4 linked regions of the Nothobranchius furzeri genome follow. The protein of the gene in region 2 purifies or fractionates together with the protein of the main gene of each other region. This does not show direct contact. Links are inferred from orthologs where the notes say so. Each region holds a gene or a part of one and is shown on either strand. Other genes may lie near its edges.

Evidence for each region. The genes of interacting proteins can lie anywhere in the genome.
Region 1: the proteins of eif3f (region 2) and casein kinase II subunit alpha' purify together in Homo sapiens (affinity purification with mass spectrometry; 3 studies listed by BioGRID and IntAct, with this or other methods). This does not show direct contact. The link is inferred for Nothobranchius furzeri from reciprocal best matches to the Homo sapiens genes EIF3F and CSNK2A2.
Region 3: the proteins of eif3f (region 2) and eukaryotic translation initiation factor 4B purify together in Homo sapiens (affinity purification with mass spectrometry; 3 studies listed by BioGRID). This does not show direct contact. The link is inferred for Nothobranchius furzeri from reciprocal best matches to the Homo sapiens genes EIF3F and EIF4B.
Region 4: the proteins of eif3f (region 2) and eif3ba purify together in Homo sapiens (affinity purification with mass spectrometry; 14 studies listed by BioGRID and IntAct, counting the BioPlex papers as one, with this or other methods). This does not show direct contact. The link is inferred for Nothobranchius furzeri from reciprocal best matches to the Homo sapiens genes EIF3F and EIF3B.

The regions. Positions count from the first base shown.
Region 1 is NC_091749.1:31,588,061-31,593,236, reverse strand, and holds the start of casein kinase II subunit alpha', read left to right. Parts: upstream 1-2,044; 5' UTR 2,045-2,370; intron 2,371-3,923; 5' UTR 3,924-4,025; exon of another isoform or gene 4,026-4,130; 5' UTR 4,131-4,193; coding exon 4,194-4,300; intron 4,301-4,381; coding exon 4,382-4,493; intron 4,494-4,680; coding exon 4,681-4,782; intron 4,783-4,910; coding exon 4,911-4,961; intron 4,962-5,119; coding exon 5,120-5,176.
Region 2 is NC_091751.1:40,239,338-40,244,681, reverse strand, and holds the start of eif3f (eukaryotic translation initiation factor 3 subunit F), read right to left. Parts: upstream 3,429-5,344; 5' UTR 3,383-3,428; coding exon 3,271-3,382; intron 3,057-3,270; coding exon 2,986-3,056; intron 1-2,985. UniProt on the Homo sapiens protein: Component of the eukaryotic translation initiation factor 3 (eIF-3) complex, which is required for several steps in the initiation of protein synthesis.
Region 3 is NC_091743.1:53,296,157-53,301,645, forward strand, and holds the start of eukaryotic translation initiation factor 4B, read right to left. Parts: upstream 3,133-5,489; 5' UTR 3,058-3,132; coding exon 3,045-3,057; intron 1-3,044. UniProt on the Homo sapiens protein: Required for the binding of mRNA to ribosomes. Functions in close association with EIF4-F and EIF4-A. Binds near the 5'-terminal cap of mRNA in presence of EIF-4F and ATP.
Region 4 is NC_091744.1:16,239,333-16,244,588, forward strand, and holds the start of eif3ba (eukaryotic translation initiation factor 3 subunit B), read right to left. Parts: upstream 3,133-5,256; 5' UTR 3,004-3,132; coding exon 2,904-3,003; intron 1,832-2,903; coding exon 1,639-1,831; intron 1,548-1,638; coding exon 1,428-1,547; intron 1,341-1,427; coding exon 1,283-1,340; intron 1,211-1,282; coding exon 1,082-1,210; intron 1,006-1,081; coding exon 848-1,005; intron 1-847. Other genes in the region: brat1 (BRCA1-associated ATM activator 1), read left to right, coding at 3,470-3,596, 4,118-4,269, 4,960-5,107, 5,202-5,256.

The DNA.
Region 1 (5,176 bases), on a different chromosome or scaffold from region 2:
TTGCTGCAGTAACCCAGGCCAAAGGAGCTCCAACTAAATATAGTTTGCTGTACATGCTCAGCAGGGCTGTGAGGTTACAACTTTTCTAAAATTTATCTTTTCTATTGGTCTTGATTCTAAAATTCTGAGCAGGACGGTCCCAAGGCACTTGGAGGACTTTGCCCCCCCCCCCCCCCCCTCCCACCACCATCCACCCCCACCACCACCACCACACACACACACACACACACACACACACACACACACACACACACACACACACACACACACACACACACACACACACACACACACACATCAAAATTAACCTCGAAACTGACCAAATTCAGTATTGAGTAGAAATACATCAGTCTGTGCGTAATGAATGAATCTAATATACAAGTTTCCCTTTTTGAATGGAATTACTGAAATAAATCAACTTTGTCATGATATTCTAATTCTACCAGCACCTGTATGTATTGGTGTGTGTGTGTGAGAAAATCATTGGGCAGAGGATATATTGTGATCTTTACAGTTTTAATATATGTGTCGATGTATATATTTTAGTATATATGTCGATGTAGAAAACTCAGGCCAGCATTATTGCAATGTCTGATGGAAACTGCTGCCACTTAGTGGTCGGAGGTTGAATTGCAACAGGCAAAAGTAATTTATTAAATGTGTGTAAATTCGCAATAAAAAATTATACACTGCTTAAAACGATCGATTCTGTATCATAACACGAAATATTGTGACACTTAAGTGTATCAATGTATCCTTACATCCCTAATTTGTTTTATATTGCAAAGAAAATGAATGAATCAAGAACATTCAAATAAAAAAAATCTTGCAAATTCATTTGGGAAAAGATAAAAATAAGATTTCATTTGGTCGTATTTTAGACTTGAAAACTAGTTACATCAAATGTATCATGTAAAAATTATTTTCCAGCTCATGATCTAACCAGTTCGGCTGATGAACAGTAAAGTTGATTGTTTTTTATTGGCCACAACAAATATGAATAAAAACAAATTTAAAGCAGGAGACTTAGTTAAAATATCACATTATTGTCTCTGGAATCCCATATTTGTAGAAATTAGATTTATTAGATAATCCACCTTGCCAATATAAATTTAATGTAACATAACATATTATTTGTTTTGACATAGCTAAAATGTTAAACTCTAGAACTCCAAATATAATGAAGATACTAGTAATGGCAAGTAAAATAATTCAAATGTATGTTTAATTGCAGATATACGATAAAGTCAACATTTTGTTTTATCTATTTAGCATAGTTTATTTTTACTATTCAGCTTCTACACATTCAAACTATAACATTTATTTTACTTTACTTTTTTCTGATGGTCGTACACGATCCAGCTCTCCACACTTCCAAAATTATTTTAAAATTGTTTGATGGTTTAATTCATACATTCGTTGACATACTGGAAAATTCTGTGCCCATCTTGTCTCCTCAAATATTGATTTGGCGTTTAGTCTTCTTGAAATCATCTTTTAATAGTAAATTCGTTTATGATAACATTGTCTACTTTGAAACAAACACGTAGCTATTTTGAACGTTTTTCAGCTGATATGCAGGAAAAACAGCCGGTGAGACAATATAAAGTTAAATAACGTCGTATGCACATCACTGGGCATAGTGAGTAATGTCTCAGTCTGTCCCTCACAGAAAACAGACACAACTGGTTCTCAAAAACTCAGAAACTCCCAAAAAGTCTTGATGGTAGATTTTAAACCATGAAACAAAAATGGTGAAAAAACCAAATAATTATAGAATAATGAAACTTTTGAATAATGTTACGAGATTCCCGTATTTTAAATAATTTTAGGAATATTAATTGTATAAAAACATTTTCATTGTGACATTTATTGCAGTCTTTATGAAGAAAATATTTAAATGTCCCGTAACTTAAAAGTAAGTGCAAACAGACTGAAGAGCACTAGTCAGGTGCGGTGATTCATTTCGTGTATTAATTTTATTTTCTGGTCCCCCCCCCCCCCCCCCCCCCCCCCCCACACACACACACACACACACACACACATTTCTGGCTGATGGAGGAGCTCCGTCTCGGTTAACTTCCGGGTGATGTTTACCGCAGAACTGCTGGATGTGCCTCCACCACCACCGCCACCCATCAGTCAGAGTCAATCAATCAGACACATTATCAATCACCTCGGACCTGCTGGGCTTACATCACCGCGCGGACATCAAAGTTAACCCGCGAGCCAACGACCATTGATGACGTTTTCTGCGCTCCAGCTTCCGACGACGAGGTTAGCCGGCTAACTTTAGCCTCCGAAATGACGACGCTGATAATTATTGCGGTTAATTCGTGTTTCGTATGCAAGAAGATGTGAATTCAGACGGTAAATGTCTTTGTGATTCCACATTTTTGAGGCAGAGTTTGTATTTTAAAGTTGTATAAACTAAACAGGTAATCGTTACTCGTTAGCTTAGTTAGCATCAGTTGAATTTCTAACAGAGGATGTTACCTAATCTTCCTGACAGTTACAACTGGTCCATCTAGTTAGCTTGTGGAGTAGCCCGTTGTTCACATCCTTCATAGCCGTTTGAGGGAATTAAATGTGTATTTGAGAGGAGAAGCTCTTCAGAACCAGAACATAGCGGTGATGGAGCATGAACGGGCCTAGAGGAGAGGAATCTGTAGACAGCAAATATATCAGACTTCCAGAGCTACACGTTACTTTAGAGAAGTATACACCGATTTAAGAAAGGTGTGAATAAGCTCAAACGACTGCTAAGACATACATGGTGACGGGAAGTTTTAATATGTCGGAAAAAATTATGATAGACTTAAAACGGCTACGAAAGAAACGTTGAATTATAGGAAACGGATCAGGTAAAGATCAACATCACAAAACAAGTGAAACACGATCTGATCAAATAAAACATCTTTTATATATTTTATTGTACATAGTAGTTGAAAAAAATGTGGATTTTTGAGCCCATATCTACACAACCAAAGTCTTTAGGGATTTTCAGAGAACAGGGCAAGGCAGTTTTATTTATTTGGTACATTTCACACACAGAGGCGGTTCAATGTGCTTGCCAACTAACAAGAATAACAAGAACATTAAAATCAATACGACATCACAATTATAATACACACAAATTCAATTTAGATTTAAAAATGAAAGAAGAAAGCAGTTACAGTGCAGAATGTGCAGTGTTATATAAACAGCCATTCAAAGGCTGATGAAAACATGAAAGTTTTCCATTTTCATTTAAAAGTTACATGAGTTGAGTTGGGGCACATTTGAGGTCATAAGCAAGCTGATTTATTCTGTGTGCAGCATTGTAGCTAAAAGCAGCGTCACCCTGTTTGGTTCTGACCCAGGGTTTTACCAGCTGCCTGTTTACTAAGGATCTCAGAGCCCTGCTGGGTTTATGTACCTGAAGGAGGTCCGACATGCATTCTGACCCCATGCCATTGAGTGATTTTTAAACTAATAGAATCACTTTGAAATTGATTCTGTAGTTTACTGGTAACCAGTGAAGAGATTAAGGAACAGGAGTGATGTGTTTCGCTTCTCTTGGTTCTTGTTAAGGCTCTAGCAGCAGCATTCTGAATAAGCTGCAGTTGATTCACAGCTTTCACAGATCATTTTAAATGTAAAATTGTTAAATTTTAGAAATATTTTTCTAAAAATTTCTTGAGAATTGATCTGCAATAATTTGTTCTAAAGGCAAATGAAAAGTCCAAAGTTGTAACTTATTTTGTCTAATTGTTTAATGATTATTTATTTTTACTAACTTTGCACATTTGCATGCAGCTGCACACTTGATACTTTTGTTGTTTTTAGACCATTTTTATACCAGTTATATGCAGATAACAGCCAAGTCGGTAATAAAAAAATAACTTCCAGGTTTTTCTGCTCTTTTCTTTTTTTCCCAACAGCTGGCGGTTCTTCATCCCATCCTGTCTAACATCCGTCTCAGGGGCTTCACTCAGTCAATAATTGTAGCTTTGTCGGTCTGCACAGCCACCCCTGTGGACCAGGTCAGTGCTTTTCACCAGAGAGCACAAGCAGCCAATGCCAATGGTAAACACAACACAGGGATCTTAGAGCCTCAAACTCAGTACAGCCGCTGCGCTGCCTTCCAGTATCGCGACAACAAGTATTCTGAGGAAGGGGGAGTTTCCCGACACGGAGCGTCGAAGCTCGCGATGCCCGGATCCTCGCCGGCCAGCAGCAAGGCTCGGGTGTACACCGATGTCAACACACAGAAGAACAGAGAGTATTGGGACTATGACGCACACATGCCAAACTGGAGGTACAGAATATCTTACTACAGTTACCATCAGCATAATCAAACAGCTTTTTATTCACACTTAAAATATTTTTCTCTTTTCAGCAACCAAGACAACTACCAGCTGGTGCGCAAACTGGGCAGAGGGAAGTACAGTGAAGTATTTGAGGCCATAAATGTAACAAACAATGAGAAAGTTGTGGTGAAAATCCTCAAGGTGAGATGTCTTGACTTCCCAGCAGTCCATCCTGTAACAAATGTCATGTATGTAGGTTTATTTGTCTTACACAATTGTCTGAGTAATCCATTTTCATGTTCTGAGGTCACGGACAAAGTGCTTAGACTTTATTTTTCCTTGTATGTAGCTTTTTTGAGTGGATCTTTGTACCTCCTTTCATCCTCAGCCCGTCAAGAAGAAGAAGATCAAACGGGAAATAAAAATTCTTGAAAACCTGCGAGGTGGAACCAACATCATCCGCCTGATTGACAACGTCAAAGACCCAGTGGTGAGTCTGAAACACGCTGTGGCTGTTTTGCATGTCGGCGTGTCAGCCGCGTTAATCCGGTCATGCTAATGATCCGCACGTACCTGCTACTGTTGTCAGTGAAGCCGTGTGTTGTCCTCTCTTTGCAGTCCAGAACACCAGCACTTGTCTTTGAGTACATCAATAACACAGATTTTAAGGTACTTGAGTTTGGCTGACACCGAACTACCATTCATGCATCTATTTCCATTAATAATCAGCTGCATAACCTTACAGTCTTAAAGTAGAAACCTCTGACACCATATCGCAGCAGTTCCTTCTAAATGTTTCATGTACGAATCTTTCATTTGGTCCGCAGGAGCTCTACCAGAAACTGACCGACTGCGATATCCGTTACTACATGTACGAGCTCCTT
Region 2 (5,344 bases):
GTGATACACCCACGTTATCTTATGACACTATCAACACTACATGTAGGGATTTAGGACAGTTGTTTGCAGCTTGAGTTTGTCATTTGTTGGAAGCCTTTGCATTATTGCTACTGCTCATGTCAATATTACCATGTTATTACATTTTCAATACTGCAACATCAATAATCATCTACACCGTACAGGGGTCCTCAGTTATAACGGTCCGAGGGCTACTCACAAAAAAGACCCAGAAGCAAGAGGGCCGGATTTTTGGGGGGGGGGGGGGGGGGGGGGGGGGCTGCTGTTTGGATCGCTGGCTGTGATGCACATAACACACAAGCTTGCAACATAAAGAAGTACCTTTCTCAGCGGCCTAGAGGTAGAGTGTCCGCCCTGAGACTGGGAGATCAGGGTTTGATTCCTGGCCGGGTCATACCAAAGACTTAGAAAAAATGGGACCCAATGCCTCCCTGCTTGACACTCAGCATTAAGGGGTTGGATTGGGGGGTTGAACCACCAAATAGTTCCCGAGCGCGGCTGTGTCTGCAGTTCACTGCTCCCCCAGGGGATGGGTCAAATGCGGAGAACAAATTTCGCACACACACCTGTGTGTGTGACAACTAATGGGACTTTAACTTTAAGAACACCTGTCCCTCTCCAGCTCAGCTGTGTGACTGCACTAACCTGTCCTGTGGGACCCTCACCATGTAACCCTCATGTCCATGCCGTCTCTGGAGGAGCAGATCATACAAGATCTCCCGTAACTTAAAATGAACCAAAGCCTCCTCCCAGTTTCTCTTTAAGCTGAATTTAACATCAGTTTATCATCATTAAACAAAAGAATAAAGTGGAACAATAACTTCTATCTTCTATTTCTCTCTCCTTTTAACTTCTCCGTGTCCCTAAATAAAAGAGACAGATGATCACGCTGCAGCCGCCGTCACTCACCCCGCTCCCTCCCCAAGGCCAGATCTCTCGACATCACAACACTGACTGAGCGCTTCGAAGAGAAATAATAATGAAATTATGAAAATAATAATGCGTGTTTGGAGGAGTGTCCTCCGACCCCCTCATCTCAGTCGCCGATTGAGCGAGCAGAGTGCGCCGTGCGACAACCCGCTCAATTAACATAATTCACGGCCCAAATCCAACAGAACCAATTGGGCTGATTCGGTTCGGTCTCAGGTTACAACTCCAGCACTCAGCCCTGCAGTACCACATAAAGGCGGACCAAAGTTTCCTACCCGGTAAATGTGGAGAACACCCACTTTGACAGATTTGGATGCTGGTGCCGCCGTTAAAATAACAAAACCACATTCCACTATAATTGATTAAGGTACTCTTCTATGACGCAGAAATAGTTTATGCCCGCATCTCATGCATTGATTATGAGTATTTTCCTCAGCTCTATCTATGCTACACCTCCCGGTCGGCCATCGCGGGTGGGGGTTTGGGGGCCACAAAGAGAGGGCTCGCCGGCCGGACGTGGCCCGCGGGCCGCCATTTGCGGACCACTGATCTACACACATGGTGATATTACCTCCTTATCTGGATCACCTACGTATGTAAACATCCCACCAGTTAACTAAATATATTCTAATGTTACTTTTATATCAGATACACTAGCCCACATCAAAACAATAAAATATGCAGTAACATTTATGCATATTTATTACTAGATGGCTGTATATCACTTTATACCAAAATGGGCAACATTTATTCTGAAGAATTTTTCCCACAACCTTGAATGTGTGTAAATTGACAGAAAATACTTTAATGTTTTTATGCATTCATTGAGAAGATAAGGTGTTTTTCACCGTTCTTAAAACAGTTGAAATAAAGATTATTCTCAAAACTAAAAACTTATGTACACTTGACATTTCATGGGAATAATGCAAATACTCATACAGATAAAGATCATTCTTTCAGCATTTCCAGAAGTTTGAAAAACACCTTGTGTCACTTAGTTATTACAGTAATTTCTACTAAAACCTAACATTTAAACTAGGTAATTTGTTTATGTTTATGTATTTAGCAGACACTTTTGTCCAAAGCGACTTACAAGTTATAATCGGCATGTTGCCCTTGAGGCTAACAACAACAAACAATTTTCAGTCAGTCGTAGGTGGCAGTGAGGCTGCATGATGAATCACGGAGAGGAGGGAACACGGAGTGGACAGGAGAGAGGAGGACGGGTGCAGGGAAGGTGCTAGTTTAGAAGATGCTCTCTGAAGAGCAGGGTCTTCAGGAGTTTCTTGAAAGTTGAAAAAGAAGCCCGTTCTTGTAGTGCTTGGTAGGCGAGTGTGCTCTTTTTGGCTGATTGAAGACCAGATGTGCCGTTGCGTTCTAGACCATTTGAAGAGGTCTCACAGTACAGACTGGAAGACCAGTTAGAAGGGCATTGCAGTAATCGAGGTGGGAGATGACAGTAGATTGCACCAGGAGCTGGGTGGCATGTTGTGTTAGGTATGGTCTGATCTTTCTTATGTTATACAGCGCCAAGCGGCATGAACGAGCAACAGAGGTAACATGATCTTTAAAGGTCAGGTGTTCATCAATCTCAACACCCAGATTTCGAACTGCCTTTGAAGGAGCCAGAGATAGGAAGTCATTTTGGATTGAGATATTGTGCTGTATGGATGGTTTTGCTGGGATGACAAGTAGTTCAGTTTTAGAGAGGTTCAGTTGGAGATGGTGGGATTACATTATTATGCACTGCTACTACTTGCCCACTTAATCAGCTTCAAGTAAAAATATAAATCTTTAACCATTTTAATTTTGGCTGTCAAGTTATTTTACCGAATATGAGCTGTAAACGATAAACAATGAATGTGGTAGTATCAACAATCCATTATTTGGCTCAACTCCTGTAACACACTTCCGTTTTTCTGTTACAATCCCAGTGATCGATGCAAACTGCCAGCTAGCAGCAGAAATACAGGGTCCCAATGCAGCCTGTGACAATCAAGACTAGAATACAATGAATTCGTGCTTTTTGTAGCTCACCTCATCTTCGGACTCGTTGTGAGGGACAGAGAAGCAGTTGGTCACCTCAATAGAGTGCTTGTCAATAGTACCTAGAACACACCAGATAGAAATGAGTGTCTCGTTGGGTTTCCTGGTGAATCAGCATTTACGTTCAGCTCCAGCGGTTACCAGATGCGGTTTGATTCAACACTGAACCGAGCCAACGTGCGCTAGCAGATTAGCTGAGGAGTTAGCTATAGCATTTTAGCTAGGAAAATTAAGTCTCCTCCCCCGGCTGGACAGATATTTCAGGTTTCTGCTTACCCAAGAGAGTTCCGATCACTCGACTTGCCCCCTCATTCCGACGCTCGTAAGAGTCAGAGATAGAAGCAAGAACGACGGGATGAATTTTCACCACTGGCCCGAACACCGACATCTTGGAGAAAGAGGACGTACCACCGTCCACAGCGACAACATACACCGCCACCTAGAGGCGGGCGGGCAAACTGCAGCTATTGAATCCTACGCTAATAAACAACTCGTCAACAGTGACGACCCAACAGGTAAACACCTGTTTCTGAAAGCAAATAGAACATACTCTTTTTGATTTTTCATGGTTTAGGGCGTAACTTGTATAGTTTTGCAACAATAAACGCACACAAAACAACAAATGCAACTGTTTATTTAATTAAAGCTAAATGTCACACATTTATGATTAAATGCAAAAACTGCAGTTGCTGTGGGGTCAGCAGGTGGGTGGAGGAAGACCGTCCCCCTTCTGTTGTAGAGATGAGATGAGCCTGAGCGAGGAAGGGTTACAGGGGCTGGACTGATGATGACAGCGTCCTCCGCCGCTCAGAGGCTGCACACCTGCCGACTCCATGAGACGCACAGATGAGATGATGGAGCTTTTCGCGCTGCCGGCTCATCCTGTTGCCACCATTTCGCACATCCTGGCACATGTTTTACAGACGCCTCTGCGCAGTCGTTGAAGTTAAAATGTGTGTTTTCTCACCGGATGACGTTTTTATTTACTGCGATTATTGAGCGATCGTTTTCGAGGCGCTTTCTTCCCCTTCTCCGGGTCGGTTTCCCGGACCGGCTCGCTGGTAGCTATAAAGAGCAGAAATGGGAGTCACCGAATCAAGGTTGCCAGCACCGGTTCGTTCATGGACCAGATGGTTGTTCATAGGATAAAACATCAGCTCGATCAATGCCAGAAGTTTCCACACTGAGCGGGTAGGTTTTTATTCATTCTCTGCTGGTTTTGGCACGAATCCGCTCTCTGGATCGTTTGGTTTCTGTTGCATTGTGGCTGACTCATTGACACTGTCAAGAGGCTATTTCTGATCCATCCATCAGGGGTGATGCGTCATCTTGATCTATCTCTCCTCCTGCATGGACGCACAACATCTAGGTCTGTGGAGGACCTGGACTCCATTTTACTGTGCAAATGATTCAGGAACACCATGCCTCACTGCATGTTTAACTCTGAGTCCTCTATGGGACTTATGTAAGAAATCTCAGCAGGCTCACAGAATAAATCCAACACATTTAACATCAAGTGCATGCTCACACACACACACACACACACACACACACACACACACACACACACACACACACACACACACACACACACACACACACACACACACACACACACACACACACACACACACACACACACAGAGCCCAAAGCTTTTTGTGAAACTAGCATAATTAAAGTGGCTCTAATGTGCAGCTGCTCTCCAGGATTAGGTTGCCTCTCAAAGGAGAGATTTATTCTGTCCTTGTGTTTCATAAAAACACACATTAACTAACAATAAATGAACAACATAATAATTTCTCTTACGCTGTATAATAAATCAAGTTTGTGCTGTGTGTTATTGCAGAAAAGACAATTTTAGTCAACAATTCCATAAACCCTAAAGGCGTGGGAAACTCATTTAAGCAACTGGTAGGAATGAGTGCCTTGCAAGCTTTACTCTGGGCAAAGAAAGCCCAGAAACGCCTGGATCAGCATGGGCAAGTCTGCCTAGAGGAGAGCTCAACATGGCAGGATTTGGGCTCATATTTCATAATATTTGGACATCTGGCCTCAGATTGGATGACAGAACTGTGACTCTACCTCTGACTTTGTTTGCTCTGAGACATGGATGTTTTATCTCCACAAATAACACAAGCCTGGGGGAGCTTCTGCCATATGGTTGATTTGCTAATGCTAACACTAACAGTTAGCTTCTGCAGGCCAAGATGCACTCTGCTAATTCTAGATGCTAAAGCAACAACAGCCTTCCCCGTCCAGAGCCAGGATGGGTGAAGCTACCGCTTGACGTAGATCTGCCAGGCTTTTCTGATCCTAGCGTTTCACTGTCTATTTTCTGTCAGAAGCTAA
Region 3 (5,489 bases), on a different chromosome or scaffold from region 2:
CAACGAAACATTCCAGATTGTGTGCAGCCAGCAACAGCTGCCCAGGGGGCTTCACTCTGCTCTGGAAACAGGTTAGATTTGTTTTAATCCCAACTGTCAGTGAACTACTCATACATGAAATTACATTATCACTAGGGCTGTACAATATATCGTAAATATATCGTTATCGTGATATCAGCATACACAATATGCATATAGCAAAGAACAGATAAATATTGCATTGAATGTTCAGCTCAAATGTTTGCTACACATAATGCATTCTGTCAATCAAATGAAAGCATTATGTTTTTTAACAAATCAAATAGAGCTCTTCACCCATTTGGCCAATTGGGTGGGTTCTCATAGGTCAGATGCCCGCCCCCGAGGCGGGCGGCACTTCATTTTGATGGTTAGCATACACCTGAGTTAGCTTTGGTCTGTTCTTTTCGCTGATTCTGCTTTTCCCGGGAGCCACTGATTGCCTTTTCTTGTTCATTCCCTTTTTCCCTTCCTTCACATCTTTAGCTTTTCTCATTTTTATAAATTTTTTATTTCTTTGTTTTTGATTAATTTTGTTCCTGAGTTAAGTTTTTATTTATCGTAAGTAATATCGTCATCGCAATATTAATCATTATTATCGAATATCGCAGGTTTTCCTAATATCGTGCAGCCCTAATAATCACACATGGTAACAGTGAAGGTAAGTTTCACACTCTAAAATATTTGCAAAAAAGTGATGATAAAAAAAGCATATGCCCACTTTAACGGCTGGTACTCTTGTAATAACCCACCATGCAGCCTGCTCTTTGATCTGCACTAATCTGATTCTACGGAGCTGGATTAGGACTAATTTTCCCTTTCTGTAAAAGCTAAAATATCAAAATGCACTTAAATTTGTTTTGGATCAGTTATCCTACAAGGAGCCTAAATCACACCCATCTACTTCCGGACCATGGGTCCCCGGAAGAACGAAAAAATGAATGCAAGTCAATGAAGCTAAAAGACTATTTTCTAATTCCGCTTGTTTTGTGCCATGGATTTCACATATGATGTCTGTGAATTTTAAAGACACATTTTGATAACAATGACACGCTTATTTTCGAACAGGGGGAAACACTGTTTTAGATTTTGTGTGAAAATAAGTCCAGGACTATAAATGCGCTTCACGAAAGTGACATCAAACCAGACATGGAGAAAACTGAGGGAAAAGAGCATTAATACAGCAAACTTCCCACAGGAGGAAAGAACAACCACAAATCTGGTCATTTGGTAAGTAGCAGCTACTTTGGGGAGAGGAGATTCACATATGCGACGTGCCGATTTCTCGTTTATAGTCATGCTAATTACAAACGTTTACAAGCTAATAAATCTCAAAGTATGTGACTGGTGTAGTCATAACACCCATCATTACTTTTTATTTAAATTGCAGTACAACATGTGTGATCCAGGGACTACGGCAGACTTGGGCTCCCTATATCGAGCATTGGAAGTTAAATCAGAAATTACCTACTTATTAACTCAGATACGTTTTTATTTAATTTTTTGTGGAAAGTGTGTGTCTATTAACATAATTCCCTAGCACAGCAAAAAAAAAGATTAAATAAATTAAAAAAAAAAACATACTACACTCCTGGTTTGTTAACTCACCACTGCTAAGTACTAGTTCAAGCTAGCAATAACAGACATGTGGACCAGGATCATAATTTTCAAACTTAATCAGAAAAGATAAATTGCATTATGTTAACCATTGTTCAGTAGCAGGTCAGAAGAGCACGAGTCAAATATCAGATCTAAAAAACACCCAAATAGTGCATCTGTATTCATATGGGAAAACTGTGGTTATGTTGACTAGTTTCTGAAACGTAAACGTTTTCAGACATGTTTTCTATTTCTAGCCGATTTTGGTTTTTTCAAATAATACATCTAGACAGACTTCTAAAATATAGTTGACACCTCTGTTCCTAATGAGTTTATTGCCTTAAAATATCACAGGAGTCAACCTGGTCGGTCACATGATCAACGCCTGTCAATGAACCCTGTAGAGGTGTAGTAACCTGTATGCCTGTGAGGTTTCTCAGCCTTAAAAATGTCATAATGTCCATTTTAATGATATCTTGTTAGTCTGAGAAAACACTTTTCAGTATATTTTAAAATTTTCACTAAAGAGTAAACACGAATGCTTTTCCGTTATGTTATTTTTTCCACATTCATCGAGATCTGCGAAACATAAAAAGCAAGAGCACTTCTCCGGACTCTTTAAGGCTGCGTTTGAAGCCTGAGGGCTCGCAGTTAGCAGGCTTGATGATCGCTTTTGTCTCAATGTCTTTGCTGGCTTAGTCAGCGGAGGACTGCTGACGGGGGAAGTCTCTGCTCTTTAGCTGGCTACGTTTAGGGCCTAGCGCACGTCGCAGCGTCAGGATCCAAGTGCGCCATCAACGCTGCAATACTTAGCCGGCCGGAAAAGCCAGCTCAAAGTTGGGAAGCTGACAGCGAAGAGTTTAGGATGCGACCCCACAGGCCCAGCTGCCCCGCTTAATCAAACGCAGACACCGGAGAGCATCTCCGCACACGTGGGGACTCTTCAGGCGGCTCCGGATCCCTCTCGGCCCAACCCCTCCTCCACAAATCGCGCTTGCGCCCGATGCCTGTTTGCCCTGAGCGCCACGGCGTAGCTCCACCGCTGACTTAAAATGTGCCAGCAGCCATTCACGCAGTTGGGAACATTGAGCCGCAGGTCGACCAGCACCTCGTACACCTTTTACCAAAATAAGCAGGGAAGCAGACGCACCACACACCGACATAACGTTAGTTCCATAAGCAAGTTAGTTTGATTAGGTTAGCTTAAAAACGCTCGTTGCTTCGTTCATTCCGCCTTCCACCACCAGCTTCGCCGTTTTAGCGGGCAAAAACAATCAATAAATGACGAACAGGCGCGAGACAACGACACAGACTCGAAAGGGGGCGAACCGGTATTCCTCACATTTATTATTCTAAGCTGTCCGAAACCATAAACGAGAGAAATTCCCAATAATCGACTCAGATCGATCACTCTACATAAACCTCACCTGACGCCGCCATGTTGGAGAACGAGTTCGTTGAGGTTCCCGGATGAAGGCGTCAGAGGTTTTATGATCGGGAGCGCGCAATGGCCGTTCACGTGCCTGCGCGCGCCTCCACCCTTGTTTACTTCCTGACCTGACCCACATCTGCAAACAAATTTTTAACCCTCTTGTAGATAATTTAATAATATGGCAGAATGCCTTGCTTTATTACTAGCTATCCTCTTGACAAACTCCCAGTTTGTATATACACATATTATTTGCCCTTCATGTTATCTTACTGATATCTCCTATTCTTTCATTTTCTGTTCATACTTCATTGTTTTTCATTTCTGAATTGATAAACCCAGGATTGCCAGAACATGGACTTTTGAGCTCCTTTATAACATGTTATTTTCTCACATGTTTTGAAATGAAGTTGTATCTAAATATGTTCAATAAAGTTATTACAATAAATAAATAAAATACCCACATCTGCTGATGCTTCCTGGTGTTTCTGCCACCAGCCACGATGTGTTTCACTTTTATAAAAACGATCAGAGAGTTTTACCAAAGTGTTGCTAAGTGTTTAATCACAAGCCCAGAAATAACAGTTTTACAGCAATAAGTAAAAACGTTATCATAATGTTCACTTTGGGGATTTTATTCAAAAAATAAATGTATGATTGTAGTCATATTGCAGTCCATGGACGTAGTTTTGACTTTAGAAGTGTGTGTGTGGGGGGGGGGGGGGGGGGCACAACTGGCATGAGTTCTGGTGGGGTCTTTACAGTAAGTATGCAAAAAATATATATAAAAAACTACAACCTAGAGGCTCCTTTATGCAGAGATGCAGAACTGTCAAGTACACAGGTGGCAGGAACGGCCAATCACTCGTTAGCAAGTATCAGTAGAGCCAATAGATGTGCTTGTGGACAGTTCTAATGGGAAGGGGCTTCAACACAAGCGGCTGTTTTCCGCTCGGACTTAGAGCTCAACTAGTGTCTATTTAATATGGTGTAATATTGTTTATTGGACGGTAAAACGTGCAGGGGACAAAAACTTGCTTTGGAAAAAGTGAGGGAGACATGTCCTCTTTGGCCCCCCCAATAAAACTTCGCCCATGTAGTCTCAAAACCTTACCTGATATAAGAAATAATGCAACATTAATGTCCTCCATACCTTATTTAAACTGACCTATTAGAGTGAAGTATAATCATCATTTAACAAGCAAAATACGATAAATTACATTGCAAATTAAACAGAATTAAATCATTTTCTGAGAATATATGCAATATTAATTCCAGCTGTTATGAATGAGGTAACAGCAAGGACTCATTTTGGGCTGTGGGTTTTATTGTGAAATTAAAAAAAAAAGTTCAGCATTATTTATGCTGTTGTGTTTTCTAATATCTTAATATATAAAAAAGTTTTCTGATGGGGCTGCATCCCATTTGTCTGTGATGGAAATCACAAAATTGCTCAGAAAATGTTTAAAATATTAAAATGACAATGAAAGGTATTTCCCCCCATTTAACCAAAACTGAAATATCTATAAATACCTGCTAAATTAGCAGGACCAAAACCCAGCAGATGGACTAGGTGAAAGCTGAAGATTTGTCAGTCATCATCACAGAGTTCAAAGTCAACACCTGATGGTGAGAGGGGATCAGTAATCCATATTAAAGCAGCATCTGCGGCTGACACCTGTTATTCAGGGAGGTTTTTGAGCATTTCAGCATGGATCATAGAAGGAGGAGTCCAGATGCTGCACATCCTCTCATCCTCCCTACGATTGTTTTGGGGTTTAAGGCAACACTCTGAATCTGAAAAACTGAAAATTCTGCCACAACAAGACATACAGACATACAAGACATAGTGAATTACTAAGGATCAGAAAAAACAGATTTTGCATCTTTTATCAGTGACTTGAGATCATTTGAAAGTGAACCTGAAAGGTTTAGTTGTGTTCAGACTAAAAATGCACGCATGTCTCAGAATCTGTCAAGACAGCAAGGCTCTTGGCTGATTTATGCTGCCTCCTGCTGGCCAAACGCTAATAGATGCACATCAAATCTAAATCTTCTAAAAGGTTTTGCATTAATTTATTTGGCACCATCAGTCGTATACTCATGCAACAGCAAAAACAGCAACAAAAAAGCTGATTTGTCTTTTTTCCCCTGTTATTTTGGAATTTGACAGACTGTGTGTGTTTTTTTTAACAAATGCATGGCTGATGCAAAGGATGGGTGGTACCCATTTGCATCAGGAGAGTGAAGAAGAAGAAGAAAATATCATTTCTATAGCGCCTCTCAAGATAAAAGTGACAGCCAACTAGACCTCTGGACTTTCTAGCTTCTTCTTTAAAAAATGGAGAACCTAACTAGCCTGTCCTGCAAAAACTAGTTGTGATTAGCAGAAAATTGCAAAGATATTTGCTTTATTTGATGTTTCTTCTGTAACTTTTAACTT
Region 4 (5,256 bases), on a different chromosome or scaffold from region 2:
TGTAACCCACACCTTACAAACTCTGAACTTTTTCAACTGAATCGCTCGTAATGGAGTATTTACTAGCATAGCTAACCAGAGCGGAAAAAAATCAGAACAAAATTTCTCACCCGCTGAGCTCGCCTTCAAAATAAAACATTAACCCTATAGTTTACTATTCTACCCTTACAATATGTTTGAGGTGATTTGGCCACTCTGGCTACATGTAGATGTTTCCCGATTACACAGGGGAGGGAGGTGTTTGGCTCGTCTCCGCACGAGCAGGATGGATAAACAGAACTCCGTTGGCGTTGAACGTCCCCAAATAATTAAAAACCAGGACGCCAAATGCAAAGTTTAGAACAGCACATTTACCCAGAGGCTCTCAGATTGAGCAATCTTGTGAGAATAGCTGCTTAGAGACAGAGCGACATGTCCCTAGCATAGCGGCTAATCGCTAGCATAGCCGTTTGACCAGTTAAATCGATACAAAAATATTAAGTCATCTTATATCTTGTTTAATAATTATACAGATATTTAAAAAATATTGATGTATCGCCCAGCCCTAGTGTTCACGATCTAAAACATAAGGGAAAAGGTCCGGAACCAGACTGCAGCGCCAGTTATGTCAGCTCAACTTTTTTAAGTCCCAACAGAAGGAATGTTCTGGCGATAGGGTCTGGGTGGCCTTTCATTAAACCTGTAAAGGGTTATTTCAGCACACACTGGCTCAGGAAAATTATTTAAAAATATGAAGAAGCTGCAAAGTGTCCCACAGAAAGGAAAAAAAAAGTTTGGTGGAAAAAAAAAATTCTCATTACAAATATGATCAACTGAGATCAGACTTGGCAGGCTTTGTGCGGATTACCTCTCACACGGTGAGAAGTCGATGAGCGACACACCCTGATGGCTGAACCTCTGGATCTGTTTGAACTTTTCGCCGCCCCACAATGCAATACCCCGCTGATGGAAAGTAGCCAAGTAAGTGCCTTTAGGAGACCAGCGGACGTACGTCTCTGTCCAGCGCTGTATCCAAACACAAAATCGTTAGGTTTTCCTCACATCACATTAACCTGATTGCTGTTAATAATTACCACCTTACCGCTCTCTCCTCATTTATTATTGGCTCTTTAGCGTCATTTGAGAAAATGGCCGTCCTCTCTCCAGCTTCGTAGATCACACTATACTGATCACGACAGTCAGGATCCTCGATCCAGTGACGCATATTCCCCTGAACAGAGAACAAGAGCAAACTGAGGATGGAGCATAAGGACCTCACAAGAAAATAAAGAGTGGAACTCACAAAATCTTTGAAAGGCTGTTTCTCTGGAGCTTCCCACTCGTCACAAATGTTCATGTACCTAAATGTTTCAAAAAAGATGAAATGAACAACTTCAGTCAGGCTTGTGTTAGTTTAACAAATCTATTGGCCTATTCTGCAAACATACTTATCAAAGTCAGTGAAGAGGTTGACCCTGAACGTGTGCTGTTTGTCGAGTTTGTATCCATCTGCATTCTTCACAGCCTCGAGGGCCTGAGTGGGAGCGGCATACTCCAAAAATATGTACCTGCGCAGAAACACAAGTTAGGTTACACGTATTTGGATTTAAGTGTGGAGCCGTGGATAAACAACGCAAGAAAGAGACAGCTAGGTCGTACCCCTTGGTCATGCCATCAGCCTCTGGGTAAAACTCTGTGGTGATTTTGCCGAACTTGGAGAAGATCTTATGTATGACGTTTTTGAGTTTTTCCAAACGTTCTGGGCCCACCTGAGGAACATTGTCCACCACAACCACAGAGTCTATCCCATCCGCTTCCTGGGGCTTTTCCCGCAGGATGTCATCCAGGAGCTCTGCGGACAAAGAAAGATTAGTTAAGTATGTTCTATGAAACTGGCATTTTTACAGATGCAAACTGTCAAAGAATCGATGAGTATTTGATTAACTTATGTGATAAATTAAATATATATATATAATTTATACAGTCAATACTACCTCAAAACAATTAAGCTTAATTTATTCATTTAAAATTAATTATTCTTGAGAAAACGAATAATTGCCTTTCCATTGTTATTATTATTATTTTTTTTTACATGTTTTTACTTTACAATACCCCCATGTTGTGTTTCTGCAAAAGCCCAGACTAAGTTACACGTTTTGTGTAATTAGCAAATACCTGGCTTATAAACTAGGTGCAACTAGATCGCTCTTGGGAAACTTTCACAAGATTTTATTTTACTTTGGAATTTAAACATCTCATCATCTGAAACTTCTTATATTTTGACGACACATTGCTTTTACAAACTCAAGTTAATTACAATTAAATAAATAGCGTCAAAGTTTTGATTAAACAAGTGAAACTTGTGTTTAATGGAGTAAATTAACGATCACTGCTAGTAAATCTTTTACTAATTATAAAGCCGATCTTAAGTCTAAAACCCAAATAAAAGCTACTGTGGCGGGGGGCGGTTTTGTACTGCTACCAAAATTCGCTTAATGAATTTTAGGCACACCTATCTGAGCAGAAACCTTTAATTTTGCGTTTGACTGTGTAGGTAAAGTCAAGCTGCTCATTTGCAATCGCACACACTCTCCATTCAGCTACAGGAGGATTGTTCTCATGCATTCAGGTCCGTCCCTGCACGTTTTCAAATAGGCCACGCTGAGTAAGCTGTCTGGGGTCTAGGTGAGGCTAACGGGCGTAACGTGTAGCAGATAGCATCAGGGTGGGGGGCTGAGACAAAAAAATGTTGCACCACTATTTCGGTTAACGAAGCTATTATGGACTACTAAACATTTTTATCAAGTTCTGGTGGACCACCGCGTAATATTTCTACCATTTGGAGCATAACCGCTATCGGTCTCTTAGCTAATGGTTAGTTAGCACTAGGCCGGATAGCCGGCGTTTTTCCTGCTACCGCTAACCCTCGTCCTCGATGTCATCGTCGAAGTCCTCCGGATCGCTGAAGGAGGGCTCCTCCTCTTCATACTCAGGGTCGTCCACCATGGCCGCCGTGTCTTGCATCTAGCGTTAGAATAAGTCGTAATTCTCTCGACGAGGGATGAAAATCCCAAAAAATGAGAGGCTAACGAGGAGCGACCGGTGCGGCAGCATGTGCGAAAATGGACGAAGAGACGGAAACGCAGCACCGGAAGCTGCTCGCGAGCGCGTAGACGTGCCGCGGAGAAATGAGTTGTAAGGCACAAGGACCGGAAGCGCGCGGCGGTTTACATTGATGTAGCTCACCGAGTTGTTTAGAGATCAGTGAATTAGGCAGCCATATTTGTTCGACTCACTTCACGCTAAAACAGTGGAGCGACGCGCTGGCGGTGATGAATTTTTCCCGCGAGATGTGCTCAACGATCTAACTTTCATTTTGAGCGAAAAATAAAAACATTTTAATGTGTCATTAAGCAGTGCTCGTTTACAGTAATGCAGCGTTGAGCAGAAGGTCAGTGTAACGTTTATTAACACACGTTTAGTCAGTAGCATGGACCGAGAGTGTGTGACAGTCCTGCCGCGGGTGTGTGAGGTGCTAGCAGCCTCAGGAAGCTCTCTGCCCGATGATACCAGTCTGGAGAAACTCCTGGACTGGTTCACAGCGCTCACCAAGGATGGTCAGTAACAACCTGGAGGGCTTGTGCTCCAGTAGTCACTCAATGTATAAATTACTTTCTCCTACTGCTGATTATTCATTGGTTGGCTATTTATTTATTTATTTATTGTGAACTAATTTTAAATAAAGTAAAATGGAGATGTTTAATTTAAAACAGCCTAATGGATGCAAATAAGGCTGGAAGATAACTGGCAAGCACTCCTATTTGTTTTTCTATTAGATTATAGCGAGTTTCTCTATTAAAATTATATTCAGATAGTCCTAATTAATGTTATATGTCAATAATTAATGTCATAAATGACATTAAAAATACCTAAAGTAACATTCTCCCTTGTACAAAGGACACATGTCTAAGTCAGTTGAAATTGCATTTGGTGAAAGTCTGTAGATACGGAACTGGAGAATAGGTATTACCAAACAGATTCTCTTGAAACCTAACTGAATGTGTTGTTTTCAGATCTAGTTTTCCACAGCTAAGTGTCTAAGTGACACCTTTTTGTTTTGTAATGTCACCTGATGAAGGAGTCTCTCTGCTGGAGGCCTTCCCCTGTCTGCTTGATTTCATACCGACCGTAGTTAACAACAGCCCTGCCTCAGATGCCAGCATCCTCTCCTTCACGCTGAAACTCACCGGCCTAATCTCAGCTACTGAGAATGGCTTTAAAGTTCTTCAGGTAAGTCTCGTAACTCCTGTAATCACTATTCAATTCAATTCAAGTTTATTTATATAGCGCCAAATGACGACAAGAGTCGTCTCAAGGCACTTCACATAATAAACCTGGTCAGGTCAGTTCATTAAGCCAATCAGAAATAATTTTTCATACATAAGGAACCCAGCAAATTGCATCAAGTCACTGACTAGTGTTAGTGACTTTACAGCAATCCTCATACTAAGCAAGCATAAAGCGACAGTGGAGAGGAAAACTCCCTTTTAACAGGAAGAAACCTCCAGAGAATCCTGGCTCAGTATAAGCAGCCATCCTCCACGACTCACTGGGGATCGAGAAGACAGAGCAGGCACACACACACACACACACACACACACACACACACACACACACACACACACACACACACACACACACACACACACACACACACACACACACACACACACACACACACACACACACACACACACACACACACACACCAAGTAGTGTGTCTATAGTTATATTGTGATGTCTTAGTAAATATTCTATTTGGTGAAAGATAAACTTTATTGTATTTGTCCTAGTGGATCTATAATTAAACGGATAAACTAGTAGTAGCACATTCAATGTCAAGGAAAGCAAAAAGTTATTCTCAAACTAAAAGTTACTAAACGGTGTTAAGCTGCCTGTGATGGAGCCTCTCTGTTTTAGGAGCACTCTTTGTGTGACCTGGTGTTTGACCCTCAACGCTGGCAGGAGGCTGGGCTCTGGAAGGATCCTTGTATACGGATAGGTTGGATCCAAGGCTTAAGGACGATGCTGCAGCATTCAAAAGCTCTTGGCTTCTTTGTGCAAGCAGGTACTGATCACTCTCTGAGCAGATGTTTAAATTTCAGATAGAGATTTTTCTCTTTTTATTAAGTAATTTACATCTCCATGTTTTCCTTCTTCAGATTTGATTGAACCACTCCTACACCTTCACACAGACACAAGCCTATTTGTTGCTTC